Linked DNA regions of Caenorhabditis elegans. The protein of the gene in region 1 purifies or fractionates together with the protein of each later gene. This does not show direct contact. Each region holds a gene or a part of one and is shown in the gene's direction. Other genes may lie near its edges.

Region 1 (7,901 bases):
ATGATGGAGATTTAGGAAACTCAACACCCACCAAAAATAAAAAGAAGAGGAGGAAACATGATTATGCTGCGACAACACCTATAGTTCGAAAATGGGATAAAGATGTTCCAAAAAAGCCAAAGAATCCAAATTTCGACTATAGGAATCTGAAAGAGTATGTCAAAGAGGCTCGCCGGCAGAGGTCATCCCTTTCTGAATCTGACGATTATTGGTTTGGGTCACCTCCAAGGAGCTCATTTTCGGCAAATTATTATTCTTCAAGGTATTTAATTTTTGTATGTTTTAAACAGTTTTATTTAACAATGTTGATTTAAGATTTTCTCGCTGGAAACACAATTCCGAAACTGGCCTCAATCCATCCTCATCACTTCTTGTGGATCCTTTTGCTTCTGGAGATTTCCATGAAGCATCTTCGTCTGAGGCATCATCAACACCATTATCACCTGCTCGTCGCACCAAATCCGAGGAAGCCATCTGGAAGCCAGTTCTTCACACAGTAAAATCCTCGAAATTATACAAAAGAGCAATTGAGAAGCAGGGGCGACTTGTGAAACTTTTCATGAGTCTTCGATTCCCAGTAGCGGCCGCTGCTTTGTTAGTTTTGACGACATGCTCTCTAATCATGGTGGCTACAAATACCTTGAAATTGTTATTCGGGTATCGCAGTTTACCTGTCTATGCTCAATACATTGAGGTAAGCTTCGGAGATTTTAAATATAATTTCTAAAAGTACATAATTTTTCAGGTACACACTCGTCATTCATTCGGACTTTTTGGGGCTTGCATCGAAACTCTTCTCATTATTTACGTGATGATCACATCTTTCGTTGGGCTGTACTCCCTTCCGGTTCTTCGTTCTCTTCGACCTGTTCGAAAAGATACTCCAATGCCAACGATAATTATTAATTCTTCAATAGTTCTTGTTGTTGCATCCGCTCTCCCAGTAGCTGTTAACACAGTTGGAATGACAACTTTTGATCTTCTCGGCTCCCACTCATCGCTCCAATGGCTTGGATCATTTCGAGTCGTTGTTGCCTATAATACTCTATTCGTCGTGTTGTCTGTCGCATTTCTCTTCAATCAATTGACTGCTTCAATGAGAAGGCAAATCTGGAAGTGGTAAGCTGTGCAATTTAAAGTTTAAATTCTTATTAATTTTTTTGCAGGATATGTCAACTACGATGTGGAATCAGACGGGAGAGTGATGCGGATGAAACCATTGAGATCCTTAGAGGCGATAAGAAAAGCAATTGAATTTCTTTCCTTTTTCAACACTTCTTACCCATGTTCATCATTTTAATCTTTTCATTACAAAAACAAGGTCCTATTTTTTTTCTCGGGTACTACTCGCCTTTTCTAATAATTCAGAATCATCAATTTTTGCCAACCTCTAGCTTTACATGTCTGTTTTTCATCATTTTCTCTCAAGCATTCTCCTAATATATTATGTTCCCTAGTATTTCCCCTCAGTCAGCAATTTTCTCGTCGTCGAAACCGTTTAGCTTTACTTTCAATCAAAACGTGGAACATTTTTCAAACTATTTGAAGCCAAAAAAAACCAGGGCTTTTGTATATGTACCATATTTTCCCTCTGATTTTCTTTATCGCCTTCTCTTTTCATGTAGAATAACTGAAATACAAACCATTTTAATTTTTTCTTTTAATTATCAATACTGTCCGTATAGGTAAAAATTATTTCTTCAGGTTTGAAAAAATCCGAAATATGTATCTGCAACTCTTCAGGGCATTGCCTCAATTAATTTTTATCTAATATTCAGATGGACCAACAAGAACCATCGAATAACGTAGATACGAGCAGTATTCTTTCGGATGATGGGATGGAAACACAGGAACAAAGTTCATTCGTCACTGCTGTGAGTGAAATTATTTAAAATTTCGCTTCGGAGATTCATTGTCATATAATTCAATTTATCGATTTTCAGACAATTGACCTAACAGTGGACGACTACGATGAAACAGAAATACAGGAGATTCTGGATAATGGAAAAGCAGAAGAAGGAACAGATGAAGATTCTGATTTAGTTGAAGGGATTCTTAACGCTAATTCAGATGTCCAAGCGCTCCTTGATGCGCCATCTGAGCAAGTAGCTCAAGCTCTTAATTCGTTCTTCGGAAATGAGAGTGAACAAGAAGCTGTTGCAGCACAAAGACGGGTTGATGCGGAGAAGACTGCCAAAGATGAAGCTGAACTCAAGCAACAGGAAGAGGCGGTTAGATTGCAATAAAGGAAACAATAATAAAATTATTTTATTTTCAGGAAGATCTTATTATAGAAGATTCGATAGTCAAAACTGATGAAGAAAAACAAGCAGTTCGAAGACTGAAAATCAACGAATTTTTATCGTGGTTCACAAGGCTCCTTCCAGAACAATTTAAAAATTTCGAATTCACAAATCCGAACTATCTGACAGAATCTATCAGCGATTCACCGGTTGTAAATGTCGATAAATGCAAGGAAATTGTCAAATCGTTCAAGGAAAGTGAATCACTTGAGGGACTTTCACAGAAATACGAATTAATTGATGAAGACGTGCTAGTCGCTGCTATTTGTATTGGCGTTCTCGATACCAACAACGAAGAAGATGTCGACTTTAATGTTCTATGTGATGATCGTATCGACGATTGGAGTATAGAAAAATGTGTCACTTTTCTTGATTATCCAAATACTGGATTGAATTCGAAAAATGGACCGTTGAGATTCATGCAGTTTACTGTCACATCACCTGCATCAGCAATTCTCATGCTCACTCTGATTCGATTACGCGAAGAAGGGCATCCGTGTCGATTAGATTTTGATTCAAATCCGACTGATGATTTACTCTTGAATTTCGATCAAGTGGAATTTTCTAATAATATCATTGATACGGCAGTCAAATACTGGGATGATCAGAAGGAAAACGGTGCGCAGGATAAAATTGGCAGGCGAGTATTAATCAAACTCACAACTGTTTTGAAAGTATTTTCATAATTATCACTTAAATACCTTTTAGAGAGCTCAACGACTTCTTCCACGAAATCGAGTCAACATCAGCAGAATTCAAACAACATTTTGAGAACGCCGTTGGCAGCCGTAATGAAATAATTCAACTTGTCAACGAGAAAATTCCCGATTTTGATGGCACTGAGGCTGCTGTGAATGAGAGTTTTACATCCGATCAACGAACCGAAATTATCAACTCTCGTGCAATAATGGAGACATTAAAAGCCGAGATGAAGCTCGCCATCGCCGAAGCTCAGAAAGTTTACGACACCAAGACTGACTTCGAAAAATTCTTCGTTTTGACAGTTGGAGATTTCTGTCTGGCTCGCGCCAATCCTTCTGACGATGCAGAATTAACATACGCCATAGTTCAGGATCGTGTGGATGCAATGACCTATAAGGTTAAATTTATCGACACAAGTCAGATCAGAGAGTGTAACATCAGAGATTTAGCCATGACTACGCAGGGAATGTATGACCCGAGTTTGAATACATTTGGTGATGTTGGTGAGTTTTAAGTTAAAATTGATATTTAATATTACATCTGTTATGTAGAATAAGGGTTTCGGTTTTTCGATTTTATTAGAAAATCGAAAATTTTAGTTTTTGTGTTAAATTTAAAAAAATCAAAATTTGATTCACTATCAAGTCCGTTTTTCTCTTCTCAAAATTGACAAAATTTTGATAATCTAGAATTTTCGTCCCGTATATTTTTCAACGAAAAACCATTTAAAATTTTCCATGATTGGATTTTCGGTTGATCTAGAAAAAAATGGTGCTAAACACTAAATTTGAAAAAGTTTGAAACAAATTCAAATCCAAATATTTCATGAAAAACTTGTAAAATATATTATGTACACAAAAAAACGTTTCAAGTGTAGCAGTTGTTTTTTGTGGTCCCAAAAAAGCAGATGTTTGTCAGAATCCATTAAACAACAAAAAAATCCAAAAACTCAACCTGGCCTAGATATCAGTTTCATGATCGAAGTATCTAAAATCATTGTTTTCAGGTCTTCGAGTTGCCTGTCGCCAAGTTATTTCCTCGAGCCAATTTGGAAAAAAAACAATTTGGCTTACCGGTACAGCTGCCGGACGTCGCAGAGCTCATAGATCCGATTTTCTAATTTTCTTCGACAACGGAACCGATGCATACGTGTCAGCTCCGACAATGCCTGGTGAACCAGGTTATGAAGTTGCTTCTGAAAAGAAAAGTGTATTTTCTCTCAAAGAAATGATTGCGAAGATGAATGCTGCTCAGATTGCTATTATGGTTGGACAGCCAGTAGGAAAGGAAGGAAATCTGGATTATTTTTTGACATTTCATTGGATTCGACAATCTCACAGATCAGCGTATATTCGGGATTTTATGAAAGAATTTCCGGAATGGCCACTTCTCAAGATGCCAGTTGGAATGCGAATCTGTTTGTACAATTCTCTTGTTGATCGACGTAAGAAAATGGTGACAGTGATTGGAACTGATCGAGCTTTTGCTATTGTGAGACACGAAGCACCGAATCCATTGGCTCCTGGGAATAGATGTACAGACTTTCCGTGCAATGATAGAAATCATCAGCATATTGACGAGAAAATCTATAGAGGATCTCATAGATTGGAAGGCGCAGCGGTAAGATTTTATTTGAAAAATTGATACAAAACGAGGATTTTCTAAAATTATTTTATTTTTATTTGATTTGATTTCTTATAATTGATAATCAAGGTTTTTTGGATGTTTTGTTAGAGAAATCGAAAAGGGAAACTTCCAAAAAAAAGCTGTGAAATCAATTTTTGCTTTTAATAATATCCAAGTTTCATCTTCAAAGTTTTTTCTATAAAATGGACACAAACTTTTCAACGTTTTCAAAAAAAAGGTTCCGAAAATATGAAAAAAGGAGAAAGAAATCATGAAAATTTTGTATTATTTCAGCACAAGAAGCACATGATCTCGACAAATAACAATCTGTCGCAACGCAGAAAAGACCAGCTTCAATCACAGTTCGAGCCAACCGACATGATTCGTTCGATGCCAGAGAGGAATCACCAACAAGTCGTTAAAAAGAAAACGACGGGCACCAATCAGAATGTCGCTTCGACAAATGATGCAAAATCGAAGAGAGAAATTGAAATAAGAAAGAAAAATCAATTCTTATTTAACAAGATTATTGTTCCAATACCCGTCCTAACACCATTGGAAAATCTCAAGGCTCATGCTCAATGTGGTCCAGATTGTCTACAGAAAATGGATGCGGATCCGTATGAAGCAAGATTCCATCGAAATTCACCAATACATACTCCTCTTTTGTGTGGTTGGAGACGAATTATGTACACAATGAGTACTGGAAAGAAGCGGGGAGCAGTGAAGAAAAACATTATTTACTTTTCTCCATGCGGAGCCGCTCTTCACCAGATCAGCGACGTCTCTGAATATATTCATGTCACCAGAAGTTTATTGACGATTGATTGTTTTTCATTTGATGCACGAATCGATACTGCCACTTATATTACTGTTGACGATAAATATTTGAAGGTTGCTGATTTTTCGCTTGGAACCGAAGGAATCCCAATTCCACTAGTGAACAGCGTGGATAACGATGAGCCTCCATCATTGGAATATTCGAAACGACGATTCCAATACAATGATCAAGTGGATATATCGAGTGTTAGCCGAGATTTCTGTTCTGGATGCTCTTGTGATGGTGATTGCAGTGACGCATCGAAGTGTGAATGCCAACAATTGTCCATTGAAGCAATGAAACGACTCCCCCATAATTTACAATTCGACGGACACGACGAATTGTATGAGAGTTCAGAAAAACAAAATAAATTTTTAAAACTATTTTTTTTCAGAGTTCCTCACTATCAAAATCGTCTTCTCAGCAGTAAGGTTATCAGTGGACTCTATGAATGCAACGATCAGTGTTCATGCCATCGAAAGTCTTGTTACAACAGAGTTGTTCAGAACAATATCAAGTATCCTATGCATGTGAGTTTATTTAACGATGATACATACCAATTATTGTTTTTTCTTCAGATCTTCAAAACTGCTCAATCCGGATGGGGAGTCCGAGCTTTGACGGATATTCCTCAAAGTACGTTCATTTGCACGTATGTAGGTGCTATACTGACGGATGATTTGGCTGATGAACTAAGAAATGCGGATCAATACTTCGCTGATTTGGACTTGAAGGATACCGTGGAGCTGGAAAAGGGTCGCGAAGATCATGAAACTGATTTTGGTTACGGAGGAGACGAGTCAGATTATGATGACGAAGAAGGAAGTGATGGTGACTCCGGTGATGATGTAATGAACAAAATGGTGAAACGTCAAGACTCTTCGGAGAGTGGTGAAGAAACAAAACGGCTGACAAGACAGAAAAGAAAGCAATCTAAAAAATCCGGTAAAGGAGGAAGTGTGGAGAAAGATGACACCACTCCAAGAGATTCAATGGAAAAGGATAATATTGAAAGTAAAGACGAACCCGTTTTCAATTGGGATAAGTATTTTGAGCCGTTTCCATTGTATGTTATAGATGCAAAACAGAGAGGAAATCTTGGAAGGTAAGATCACAATTTTATTCATTAAAAAAATTTTTTAGAGATTTTGCTTTAAATGATAAAAAATGGACAAACCAACCGTTTGCCTCTTCTTTTGGTTTATCAACCTTTCTCTATGGAAAAAATTCTGAAAAATTAACAAACAGTATTTCACGTTGAAAAGTGAAGAAAAAAGCAAAAAAAGGAAACAAATTTCAAAACGGTTCTACTCCATCTTAAAAAAACTAAAATTCGTAAAAAGTCATTTGGTATGTTTTGGAGACTATAATACAATTGAGAAAATTTGAAAAACCGGCACTCCAAAGATACAATCATAAATTTTCGATAACTTTCAGATTCTTGAATCACTCTTGCGATCCGAATGTGCACGTTCAACACGTCATGTACGATACGCATGATCTTCGTCTTCCATGGGTCGCGTTTTTCACACGAAAATACGTGAAAGCCGGCGATGAGCTAACCTGGGACTATCAATATACTCAAGATCAGACGGCTACCACACAACTCACATGCCACTGCGGAGCTGAAAACTGCACCGGCCGTTTGCTGAAAAGTTAAAGAATTGTTGTTATTTCCTTCCCAGTTATGTTTTCCTTTTTTTTTAAGTATTTATTTATTTATTTAATTTTTATTTTGTTTATTGTTCAATCGTTTAAAATCTCCCTTTGAAAACAGCATCTCATATGTATGATCTAAACACGTATTTACCTCGTAAGGGTTTGCCAAATAGTTTCTTTGGTTTTCATTTTGATTTTCTCTGCGAATAAAATGTTTTAAAAAAGACATTATATTTTTTAATAGTCAGTACAGTTTTGATGTCTCCAATCTATTTCAGTTTACAATTTTAAAATATAGAATATATATATTTAGGTTTCATAAGTTATGCATCGATTACGGGTTCTACGTCACTTGAAGTTCTGCATTTCCACGTCACATAGGACTACTGTAGTTTTAAAAAATACTCGTTCATTTTGTAATAATATTCCTTCTACTAGTTTTGCTTCTGGTAATAATCGAATTTCAAAACTTTAGCTAAAATATTTCTTTTTGAAGAGGCTGCAGCAAAATATGAAAAGAAAAGTCCAACTGAACATGTATTACTTCGACCCGATACATATATTGGAGGTGTCGCCATGCGAGAAGATCAAATTATTTGGCTCAGAGACTCAGAAAATAGAAAAATGATTGCAAAAGAAGTCACTTATCCACCTGGATTATTGAAGATTTTCGATGAGATTCTAGTGAATGCGGCTGATAATAAAGCAAGAGATTCCAGTATGAATCGGTTGGAAGTATGGTTAGATAGGTAAATATATTGCAGGAATTTATGTTCTGCGACAAAGCTACG
Region 2 (5,745 bases), on another chromosome or scaffold:
TAAATTCTAAAATGTTTCCACGTGAAAATTCCAACAAAAAAATCATGCTTGCCTGTTCATATACCTTCAGTTAGTCACTAAAATGCCAGACATCTTCGTACCTACCTGAAAATCCTAAGTCCTAATACCTACAAAATTTCCCGTTTCAGTTCCCGGAACCACACGGCTCAACGAGCCGAAAAACATCGAGGTCACGAATCACGAGGTGGATGATAAGACGACGGAGCGAGTCTATAAGAAGTTGAGGGAAAAGAAGAAGTCGACGGCAAAAGCGAAGCCAATCGATGCGAAGAGCAAGCTTCTGTTGGATCGAGTGCCGAAAAAACCATATCGATTGAAGCATAAGCCCGATGGTATGATGTTATGCGACGAGCCATCCACTTTCTACAAAACCAACAATCCGAAGAAGAAAGTTGAGACCTCTTTACTTCCCGTTGAGGATTCTTATGATCACGTTCGAAAATTGGAGGACATTAAGAAGGAGCCAGAGCAAGATGTGTACAAGGGTCAGGACGTCCCCACCTGGGCAGTAAATATAGAACCGACTGACGAGGACATGGTGAGTGAACTTTTTTTTTGAAAGTTCAAGTAAAAATTTATTTGCAGAAAGAGACCGACGAGGCGATCACGGTGAATACTGATCATTCGGAGATGTACCGTAACAAGAAGCTCAGTCTGAAAAGCATTCCCCCACGAAGCTTGTGCTCAACGAGCTACAACCGTTGGTGGAGTTGAAGAAGAGAGATGAAGTTCACTTTGAGACCAGGCTGGTGTTCTCCAACACGATTAGGAGTCTGTTGCTTGTCCATGAGAGTGCTCGAGCGCTGAGTGACGGAAAAGTGGATGATGAGTTTTCCGACAAGAAGGTGTCGTTTGATACACCGGAAGCTACATACATCTACTCGGTGAGATATTCCTGGCCGGGGTACAGCTAATTGAAAGTTTTCAGCGAATCAACCCAATCGAATCGGTCAAAGCGGCTCGTTCTGGAAATTGACACGCCAGCACTTCTACCACCAATACAACCATATCGAATTGGAACTGAACTTGATTTTGTTTTGCTTTTATCGATAAAGTGTATGTTCAGGGCTTACTTTTGAGAATTTTACTTATTTTAAAAAGGAAATGCGAGCAACAAAGTGAAAAATGTATGTCTGATTTTGAAATGCTCATTTCCTTTGAGGTTTCCATTTTTGAGTTGCCCGTAATTTGTATTTTTCTGAAGATGAGCAATTCAATTTTTAAATTGCCCGCACCTCTACCGTTTCCATCGTGTATTTTGTTAAAATATTCACAGATTAACCCATTTACCGTTTCATCCACCTGTTTTTCCTCGAAAAGATTCCAATGTTCTATAATTCTACAAAACTTCCCACGCGAGAAACAACTGTAATAAACTGAATATATTATCTATCGCATCGTTTTCAACCAGAATTAAGCAAGAGTTTCCACAACTTTAAACACCAACAACGCAATCCTAAATCATTTGCAAGATTTTATTTCAGATGCTACACTTTCTGCCTGAAAAAAATTCTGAAAAGCCGAACAATAATTCATGGTAACAATGAATGGCAGATACATCAAAGTTTTAGATGAACAATTTTTATGTATTAAATGTACATTTAAAAACAAATTGCACAACGATTCTACTACTGTCGCACTAATTTTACGTATGTCTGTACTTGAAGATTTCGAATTAATTTGTTCAATATTGTGTTAAAATGTTTGATTTATACACTCAAATCTTTAAAAGATTTATTGGAAAACATAAATGGTTAATTTAAACCAAAAATTTCCATCAAGCCTTTTCTGAAAACACTAAAATTATTTTCGTGGTGGGACCAGGCGCGCGCGTCCCATGATGTTCCTTTAATCAAAATGCATTTCTGTCCCGGCGGGAGAAATTGAATTTTCATTTTAAGGCGCGAATTTTTGCCTAAAAACGATGCCATTCTTTCATTCTTTTCATAATCTCACTCACCATGAGAACCATGCGCCTTGCTTGGTTGCTCCCACTTTTTATTCACATACTAATCAAGGTAATTTCCCCGTTTTTCTAGTTTTTTCAATGTATTTTCATGTTTCAGAACACAGCTCAAGCTCCGGCTGTCAACAACTCGACATGCGATCAAGCAAAGGAATTTGATTGCGGGAACGGGAGACTCCGATGCATTCCCGCGGAGTGGCAATGCGACAACGTAGCGGACTGCGACAACGGAAGAGACGAATCGGGCTGCTCATATGCGCATCATTGTTCGACAAGCTTCATGTTATGCAAGAATGGACTGTGTGTCGCAAATGAGTTCAAATGCGACGGCGAAGACGACTGCCGCGATGGAAGCGATGAGCAGCATTGCGAGTACAATATCCTGAAGTCTCGCTTCGATGGTTCCAATCCTTCGGCTCCTACCACTTTCGTTGGTCACAATGGCCCAGAATGCCATCCTCCTCGTTTACGATGCCGATCAGGACAATGTATTCAACCAGATCTCGTTTGTGATGGACATACGGATTGTTCTGGAGGAGATGATGAGGTCAACTGCACCAGAAGGGGACATGAAAATATGCAGTCCTCGACTGATTTTCACGATGATGTTCATCTTGTCGATCCAACCTTTTTCGCTAATGAAGACAATAAGGTAATTGTTTAATGTTTATTAATACCGTTTTAACTTTTATTTTTCAGTGTCGGAGTGGATACACAATGTGCCATAGCGGAGACGTCTGCATACCTGACAGTTTTCTTTGTGACGGCGATCTAGATTGTGATGATGCTTCGGACGAGAAAAACTGCCAAACTAATGCTCCAAGCGAAGAAGAATATCTTTCTGGGCAAGCCGATCACATGCATTCGTGCTCAGCAGCAGGAATGTATTCTTGTGGAACAAAAGGATCCGAAATTGGCGTTTGTATTCCGATGAATGCCACGTGTAATGGGATCAAGGAGTGTCCACTAGGAGATGACGAGTCAAAACATTGCTCCGAATGTGCCAGAAAGCGATGTGACCACACATGTATGAACACTCCACACGGGGCTCGCTGCATTTGTCAAGAAGGATATAAGCTTGCCGATGACGGACTCACTTGCGAGGATGAAGATGAGTGTGCAACTCATGGGCACTTGTGCCAGCATTTCTGTGAAGATCGTTTGGGTTCCTTTGCATGCAAATGTGCCAACGGTTATGAGCTTGAAACGGATGGGCATTCTTGTAAATACGAGACAACCACTACGCCAGAAGGATATTTGTTCATCAGTCTTGGTGGAGAAGTTCGACAGATGCCATTGGCAGATTTCACCGATGGTTCAAATTACTCGCCGATTCAAAAGTTTGCTGGCCACGGAACCATCAGATCGATCGACTTCATGCATCGCAACAACAAAATGTTCATGTCAATTTCTGATGAGCACGGTGATCCAACTGGCGAATTGTCAGTGTCCGACAATGGATTGATGAGAGTTCTTCGAGAAAATGTCATTGGAGTGAGCAACGTGGCAGTCGACTGGATTGGTGGAAACGTTTTCTTCACACAAAAATGTATGTTTATCTAATGTTTAAATTTTTCATTTGTGATTCTTACAGCTCCATCTCCAAGCGCTGGGATTTCCATCTGCACAATGAGCGGAATGTTCTGTCGCCGAGTTATCGAAGGCAAAGAACAAGGACAATCCTATCGTGGTCTTGTTGTTCACCCGATGCGCGGTCTCATCATCTGGATCGATTCTTATCAGAAATATCATCGCATCATGATGGCTAATATGGATGGGTCTCAGGTGAGTCGTCGAGTCGATCTGATTTAGTTCATTTCTAAATAAATTTCAGGTCAGAATCCTTCTCGACAACAAGTTGGAAGTTCCATCAGCTCTTGCCATCGACTACATCCGCCACGATGTCTATTTTGGAGATGTTGAACGTCAGTTGATCGAAAGAGTCAATATCGACACGAAAGAGCGCCGCGTAGTGATTTCGAACGGAGTTCATCATCCGTATGACATGGCTTACTTCAATGGTTTCCTATACTGGGCAGATTGGTAAGACATCTTATCTAATTTATATTTTCAAATTTATTTTTCAGGGGAAGCGAGTCATTAAAGGTTCAAGAGATGACCCATCATCATTCGAGTCCTCAAGTCATCCATACTTTCAATCGTTATCCATATGGTATTGCTGTCAATCACTCACTCTACCAGACTGGTCCTCCATCAAACCCATGCCTTGAACTCGAGTGCCCATGGCTCTGCGTTATTGTGCCAAAGAGCGATTTCATTATGACTGCCAAGTGTGTCTGCCCAGACGGATACACTCATTCCGTCACTGAAAACTCTTGCATCCCGCCTGTGACGATTGAGGACGAGGAGAACCTTGAGAAGCTTTCCCACATTGGATCTGCTTTGATGGCCGAATACTGCGAAGCTGGTGTCGCGTGTATGAATGGAGGAGCCTGCCGTGAACTACAAAATGAGCACGGAAGAGCTCATCGCATCGTTTGTGATTGTGAGGGTCCATATGACGGGCAATACTGCGAACGGCTCAATCCAGAGAAGTTCTCCGCAATGGAAGAGGAAGATTCGTCCTTATGGCTTATCGTTCTGCTTCTCATTTTTCTCATCATCGTTGCGGTAGTCGGAATTATTGCCTTCCTTTGGTTTTCTCAACAAGAGCATATGAAAGATGTGATTTCCACTGCCCGTGTCCGTGTTGATAACATGGCTAGAAAAGCGGAAGATGCTGCAGCTCCAATTGTCGAGAAGTTCCGCAAGGTCACTGATAAGCAGAGGAGCACGCCTCCTAGAGAAGGTTGTCAAACGGCAACAAACGTTGACTTCGTTTCCTACGAGACAAATGCTGAGAAAAGAATTCGGATGGACTCTTCGCCGGTGAGATCTTTTTTTAGATATTTTTTATATAAAAATTGATTAATTTCAGACGTCATACGGAAACCCCATGTACGATGAAGTTCCTGAATCGTCAACTGGTTTCGTCAGATCGGCTTCCGCACCATTCGCTGGAGTCATTCGATTTGAGAACGACAGCTTGTTGTGAATTCTACTACAAAATTACTAAATCAGATGTCTGTAAAGTATATCTATTTTTGCCTATTTATTGCATGAAAGTTGATAATGTCTACTAGTACTGTTGTTTTATACTCTTTAAATGACAATCGAGATGTGAAACACATTTCTATTTCTAATAGTTTTATTAGAAACTTGTTACATCACTGTTTAGAACACGGATAGACGGCGTCAAGAAAGAACAACAAAATCATTTGGAAGTGATTATTAAATAAGCGGAAATTATTTTTAACCATTGAAAGATGGGTATTTCTACATTCGTGGTTCAGATTCGGAACTTTGTGATTTTTGCATAAATAATACGGCGCTAGGTCTTGGCACGATAATTTTTTTTAATTGGAAACAGACGGTGTGCGCCTTTGAGAACTACTGTAACTTCAAACTTCCGTTGCAGATTTTTCGTCGATTTTTCATAGTGTTTCTCATGGTTTGTTAAAATTTATTTCTTTTTATTGTTTTAATTTTTTTAAATATTAAAAAATCTTATCGAAAAACTAAATATAAAGAATCGATTAAAATTCCGCAGCAGTCAAAGTTTGAAATTACAGTACTCGGCAACCATTTTGTAGTTACCAAAAAAGCGTGTCGAGACCGGACACCGTATTCTTGCGCAAAATTTCGCGTCTCGGCAATCATTCCGCACAAAAAATTCTGCTAATTTTGAAATGTTTCAA
Region 3 (5,113 bases), on another chromosome or scaffold:
ATTATTCGACTGATTTTCTTCTTTTCTGTTTTTTTTTTGTTGGAAAATGAAAGAAATAAAAAAGACAGATGCAAAATTTTTGTTAAAAAATAACTGAAAATGCCTTAAACTGTAATTTTTTTTGAATTCTGACGACGACAAACCTGAAATTAGTATATTTCACAGTTTTACAAAATATATTTTTATTTATAAAACTGTAAAATATACTAATTTCAGGCTTGCCGTCGTCAGAATTCAAAAAAAATACAGTTTTAGGCATTTTCAGTTACTTTTTAACAAACATTTTGCATATGTCTTTTTTATTTCTTTCATTTTCCAACAAAAAAAAACAGAAGAAATGAAGAAATTCAGTCGAATAATGAGAATAAATAAAATTAATTAATTCCAATAATGCAAGCGCGCTCCATCGGTCAAATCCGATTGGCGGTAATTCAAATAGGAATTAGGGGAAAACTGAGATTTTTTCAATTATCAAAAAAAAATCTTATAAAATCTAGAAAAAATTTTTTGAATTTTTTTATCATGATATTCGGTCAATTTCCCCACAGATTGTGGGTCTCGCAGCGAAAATTGAGATTTTTATCGTTTTTTGAGTTATTTCAATGAAAAATCGATTGATTTTCAGGCGAAAAAAGTCGGGAAAACTGTGAAAAAAAATTATTTTCGAAAGAAAAAAAAATTTCAAAAAATCACCACCATTTCAGCCGAAAAACTCGCAGTTCATTTCCACGACACATACGGTCAAGCTCTCGCAAATGTGCTCATTTCCATCGAAAAAGGCATCCGAAGTGCGGATTCAAGTATCGCAGGGCTCGGTGGTTGCCCATATGCGAAAGGAGCAACTGGAAATCTTGCAACTGAAGATTTATTGTATTTTTTGAAAGGAAACGGTTTTGAAACTGGTGTCAATTTGGACAAAGTTGTCGAAACTGCAAAATGGTTTAATGAAGCCGCCGGATATGATAAATGGTCGAGAGTTGGAGCTGCAATGATGGCTAAAAAGAGCAAAAGCTGCTGCTGAAAATGTGTGCTGTAAAAAATTTAAAAAAATTTTTAAAAATTCGTGTAAAAATTACCCCGGTTGTTTAGGAAATAATAAAGAGATTAGAGACTTTTTTCAGATTTTTATTTTCTTGAGTTTTGCCGGTTTTCAGCCGATTTCTATCTTTTTTTTCTCATTTTTTGTGATTTTTTTTCGCTAGTTTTCCCCTCAATTTCTCGATTTTTTCACGATTTTTTGAAAATTTTCGGAAAATTGAATTGTTTGCAAAAAAAAAAATTCAAAAACCGCATTTTTCTCAGAATTTTTCTGGGATTTTGTACAAATTTTTGAATTATTTCTCAAAAAAAAGCAGGTTTTTACCGATTTTTTTGGTTTTTTCCCCAAAATTTTCCGATTTTTTCCGAGTTTTGCCGGTTTTCAGCCGAATTCTACTCTCGATTTTTTTACGATTTTTTGGAAATTTTCGGAAAATTATTTGAAAAAAAATCAAAAAACCGCATTTTTTTTTCTGAATTTTCTGGGATTTTGTACGAAATTTTGAAATTTTTCTCGAAAAAAGCAAGTTATTCCCCAAAATTTTCTGATTTTCCCCCAAAAATTTAGATTTTTCCCGAGTTTTCCCCAGTTCTCAGCTGATTTCTATATTTTTTTCTCAATTTTTGTGATTTTTTGTTGCTAGTTTTCCCTTCAATTCCTCGAGTTTTTCACGATTTTTTGGAGATTTTCGAAAAATTGTTTGAAAAAAATCAAGAAACCACATTTTTCTCTGGATTTTCTCGAAATTTGCACAAAATTTTTGAATTTTTTCGTAAAAAAAAACTGTTTTCCCCAAAAATTTCAGATTTGTTTTTGATTTTTTTCGAGATTTTCCCCTGATTTCAAAGTTTTTTCCTGAATTTTTCGAATATTTCCTGAAAAATCGGCTATTTCTAACTTTTTAAATAATTTTTTTTGAATTTCTGACTTTTTAAATCCTTTTTTTTTTGCCATTTTTTCCCATCTAAAATTCTAAATTATTCAAAATTTTACAGAATGTCAGAAGTAATCGACGAAAGTATCTTAAATACAGAAGCTTCAGATGATCCAATACCTCCATTAAATGATGATCAGATTGCTGAGCTTTTGGGTGAAGATGGAGAAATTATGGAGATAACTGAGCAGAAAGGTGAGATTTTTTGAGTAAAACCTTGAATTTTGCACTAAAAATTTGCAATTTTCGCTAAAAATTACCTTAAAACTCGAAAATTGGAATTTCTAGCTGAGAAAATGGCCAAAAATGTCGAAAAATGCCTCCGAAACCTGTGAAAAAAAAAACCACCAAAAAGGTTTCTAGGCCACCAAAAAGATTTCTAGGCCACCAAAAATGTTTCTAGGCCACCAAAAATGTTTCTAGGCCACCAAAAATGTTTCTAGGCCACCAAAAATGTTTCTAGGCCACCAAAAATGTTTCTAGGCCACCAAACAGGTTTCAATGCCACCAAAAATGTTTCTAGGCCACCAAAAATGTTTCTAGGCCCCCAAAAAATTTTTCTAGGCCACCAAAAAGGTTTCTAGGCCACCAAAAATGTTTCTAGGCCACCAAAAAGGTTTCTAGGCCACCAAACAGGTTTCAATGCCACCAAAAAGGTTTCTAGGCCACCAACCAGGTTTCAATGCCACCAAAAATGTTTCTAGGCCACCAAAAAGGTTTCTAGGCCACCAAAAATGTTTCTAGGCCACCAAAAATGTTTCTAGGCCACCAAAAAGGTTTCTAGGCCACCAAACAGGTTTCAATGCCACCAAAAATGTTTCTAGGCCACCAAACAGGTTTCAATGCCACCAAAAAGGTTTCTAGGCCACCAAAAAGGTTTCTAGGCCACCAAAAATGTTTCTAGGCCACCAAAAAGGTTTCTAGGCCACCAAACAGGTTTCAATGCCACCAAAAATGTTTCTAGGCCACCAAACAGGTTTCAATGCCACCAAAAATGTTTCTAGGCCACCAAACAGGTTTCAATGCCACCAAAAATGTTTCTAGGCCACCAAAAAGGTTTCTAGGCCACCAAAAATGTTTCTAGGCCACCAAAAATGTTTCTAGGCCACCAAAAAGGTTTCTAGGCCACCAAACAGGTTTCAATGCCACCAAAAATGTTTCTAGGCCACCAAACAGGTTTCAATGCCACCAAAAATGTTTCTAGGCCACCAAAAATGTTTCTAGGCCCCCAAAAAATTTTTCTAGGCCACCAAAAAGGTTTCTAGGCCACCAAAAATGTTTCTAGGCCACCAAAAAGGTTTCTAGGCCACCAAACAGGTTTCAATGCCACCAAAAAGGTTTCTAGGCCACCAACCAGGTTTCAATGCCACCAAAAATGTTTCTAGGCCACCAAAAAGGTTTCTAGGCCACCAAAAATGTTTCTAGGCCACCAAAAATGTTTCTAGGCCACCAAAAAGGTTTCTAGGCCACCAAAAAGGTTTCAAGGCCACCAAAAAGGTTTCAATGCCACCAAAAATGTTTCTAGGCCACCAAACAGGTTTCAATGCCACCAAAAAGGTTTCTAGGCCACCAAAAATGTTTCTAGACCACCAAAAAGGTTTCTAGGCCACCAAACAGGTTTCAATGCCACCAAAAAGGTTTCTAGGCCACCAAACAGGTTTCAATGCCACCAAAAATGTTTCTAGGCCACCAAAAAGGTTTCTAGGCCACCAAAAATGTTTCTAGGCCACCAAAAATGTTTCTAGGCCACCAAAAAGGTTTCTAGGCCACCAAACAGGTTTCAATGCCACCAAAAATGTTTCTAGGCCACCAAACAGGTTTCAATGCCCCCAAAAAATTTTTCTAGGCCACCAAAAAGGTTTCTAGGCCATCAAAAATGTTTCTAGACCACCAAAAAGGTTTCTAGGCCACCAAAAATGTTTCTAGACCACCAAAAAGGTTTCTAGGCCACCAAAAATGTTTCTAGGCCACCAAAAAGGTTTCTAGGCCACCAAAAATGTTTCTAGGCCACCAAAAAGGTTTCTAGGCCACCAAACAGGTTTCAATGCCACCAAAAAGGTTTCTAGGCCACCAACCAGGTTTCAATGCCACCAAAAATGTTTCTAGGCCACCAAAAAGGTTTCTAGGCCACCAAAAATGTTTCTAGGCCACCAAAAATGTTTCTAGGCCACCAAAAAGGTTTCTAGGCCACCAAAAAGGTTTCAAGGCCACCAAAAAGGTTTCAATGCCACCAAAAATGTTTCTAGGCCACCAAACAGGTTTCAATGCCACCAAAAAGGTTTCTAGGCCACCAAACAGGTTTCAATGCCACCAAAAAGGTTTCTAGACCACCAAAAAGGTTTCTAGGCCACCAAACAGGTTTCAATGCCACCAAAAAGGTTTCTAGGCCACCAAACAGGTTTCAATGCCACCAAAAATGTTTCTAGGCCACCAAAAAGGTTTCTAGGCCACCAAAAATGTTTCTAGGCCACCAAAAATGTTTCTAGGCCACCAAAAAGGTTTCTAGGCCACCAAACAGGTTTCAATGCCACCAAAAATGTTTCTAGGCCACCAAACAGGTTTCAATGCCCCCAAAAAATTTTTCTAGGCCACCAAAAAGGTTTCTAGGCCACCAAAAATGTTTCTAGACCACCAAAAAGGTTTCTAGGCCACCAAAAATGTTTCTAGACCACCAAAAAGGTTTCTAGGCCACCAAAAATGTTTCTAGGCCACCAAAAAGGTTTCTAGGCCACCAAACAGGTTTCAATGCCACCAAAAATGTTTCTAGGCCACCAAAAATGTTTCTAGGCCCCCAAAAAATTTTTCTAGGCCACCAAAAAGGTTTCAATGCCACCAAAAATGTTTCTAGGCCACCAAAAAGGTTTCTAGGCCACCAAAAATGTTTCTAGGCCACCAAAAATGTTTCTAGGCCACCAAAAAGGTTTCTAGGCCACCAAACAGGTTTCAATGCCACCAAAAATGTTTCTAGGCCACCAAACAGGTTTCAATGCCACCAAAAAGGTTTCTAGGCCACCAAAAATGTTTCTAGACCACCAAAAAGGTTTCTAGGCCACCAAACAGGTTTCAATGCCACCAAAAAGGTTTCTAGGCCACCAAACAGGTTTCAATGCCACCAAAAATGTTTCTAGGCCACCAAAAAG

What was found.
Region 2: the proteins of met-2 (region 1) and rme-2 purify together in Caenorhabditis elegans (affinity purification with mass spectrometry, with the first as the bait; one study listed by BioGRID). This does not show direct contact.
Region 3: the proteins of met-2 (region 1) and lin-65 purify together in Caenorhabditis elegans (affinity purification with mass spectrometry; one study listed by BioGRID). This does not show direct contact.

Annotation. Positions count from the first base shown.
Region 1 is NC_003281.10:8,373,522-8,381,422, forward strand, and holds met-2 (Histone-lysine N-methyltransferase met-2), read left to right. Parts: upstream 1-1,778; coding exon 1,779-1,874; intron 1,875-1,943; coding exon 1,944-2,231; intron 2,232-2,278; coding exon 2,279-2,943; intron 2,944-3,011; coding exon 3,012-3,508; intron 3,509-4,011; coding exon 4,012-4,625; intron 4,626-4,925; coding exon 4,926-5,794; intron 5,795-5,845; coding exon 5,846-5,981; intron 5,982-6,029; coding exon 6,030-6,556; intron 6,557-6,888; coding exon 6,889-7,111; 3' UTR 7,112-7,342; downstream 7,343-7,901. Other genes in the region: lmbr-1 (LIMR family protein R05D3.2), read left to right, coding at 1-262, 316-694, 746-1,119, 1,167-1,254; R05D3.12 (Putative DNA topoisomerase 2, mitochondrial), read left to right, coding at 7,436-7,559, 7,607-7,859. UniProt on the Caenorhabditis elegans protein: Histone methyltransferase which is required for the mono- and dimethylation of 'Lys-9' of histone H3. This increases the efficiency of set-25-mediated trimethylation of histone H3 'Lys-9'.
Region 2 is NC_003282.8:5,468,047-5,473,791, forward strand, and holds rme-2 (EGF-like domain-containing protein), read left to right. Parts: upstream 1-1,980; 5' UTR 1,981-1,982; coding exon 1,983-2,039; intron 2,040-2,087; coding exon 2,088-2,639; intron 2,640-2,686; coding exon 2,687-3,536; intron 3,537-3,581; coding exon 3,582-3,772; intron 3,773-3,821; coding exon 3,822-4,030; intron 4,031-4,074; coding exon 4,075-4,876; intron 4,877-4,925; coding exon 4,926-5,042; 3' UTR 5,043-5,128; downstream 5,129-5,745.
Region 3 is NC_003279.8:1,753,295-1,758,407, forward strand, and holds the start of lin-65 (uncharacterized protein), read left to right. Parts: upstream 1-2,034; 5' UTR 2,035-2,035; coding exon 2,036-2,168; intron 2,169-5,113. Other genes in the region: Y71G12B.10 (hydroxymethylglutaryl-CoA lyase), read left to right, coding at 705-1,021.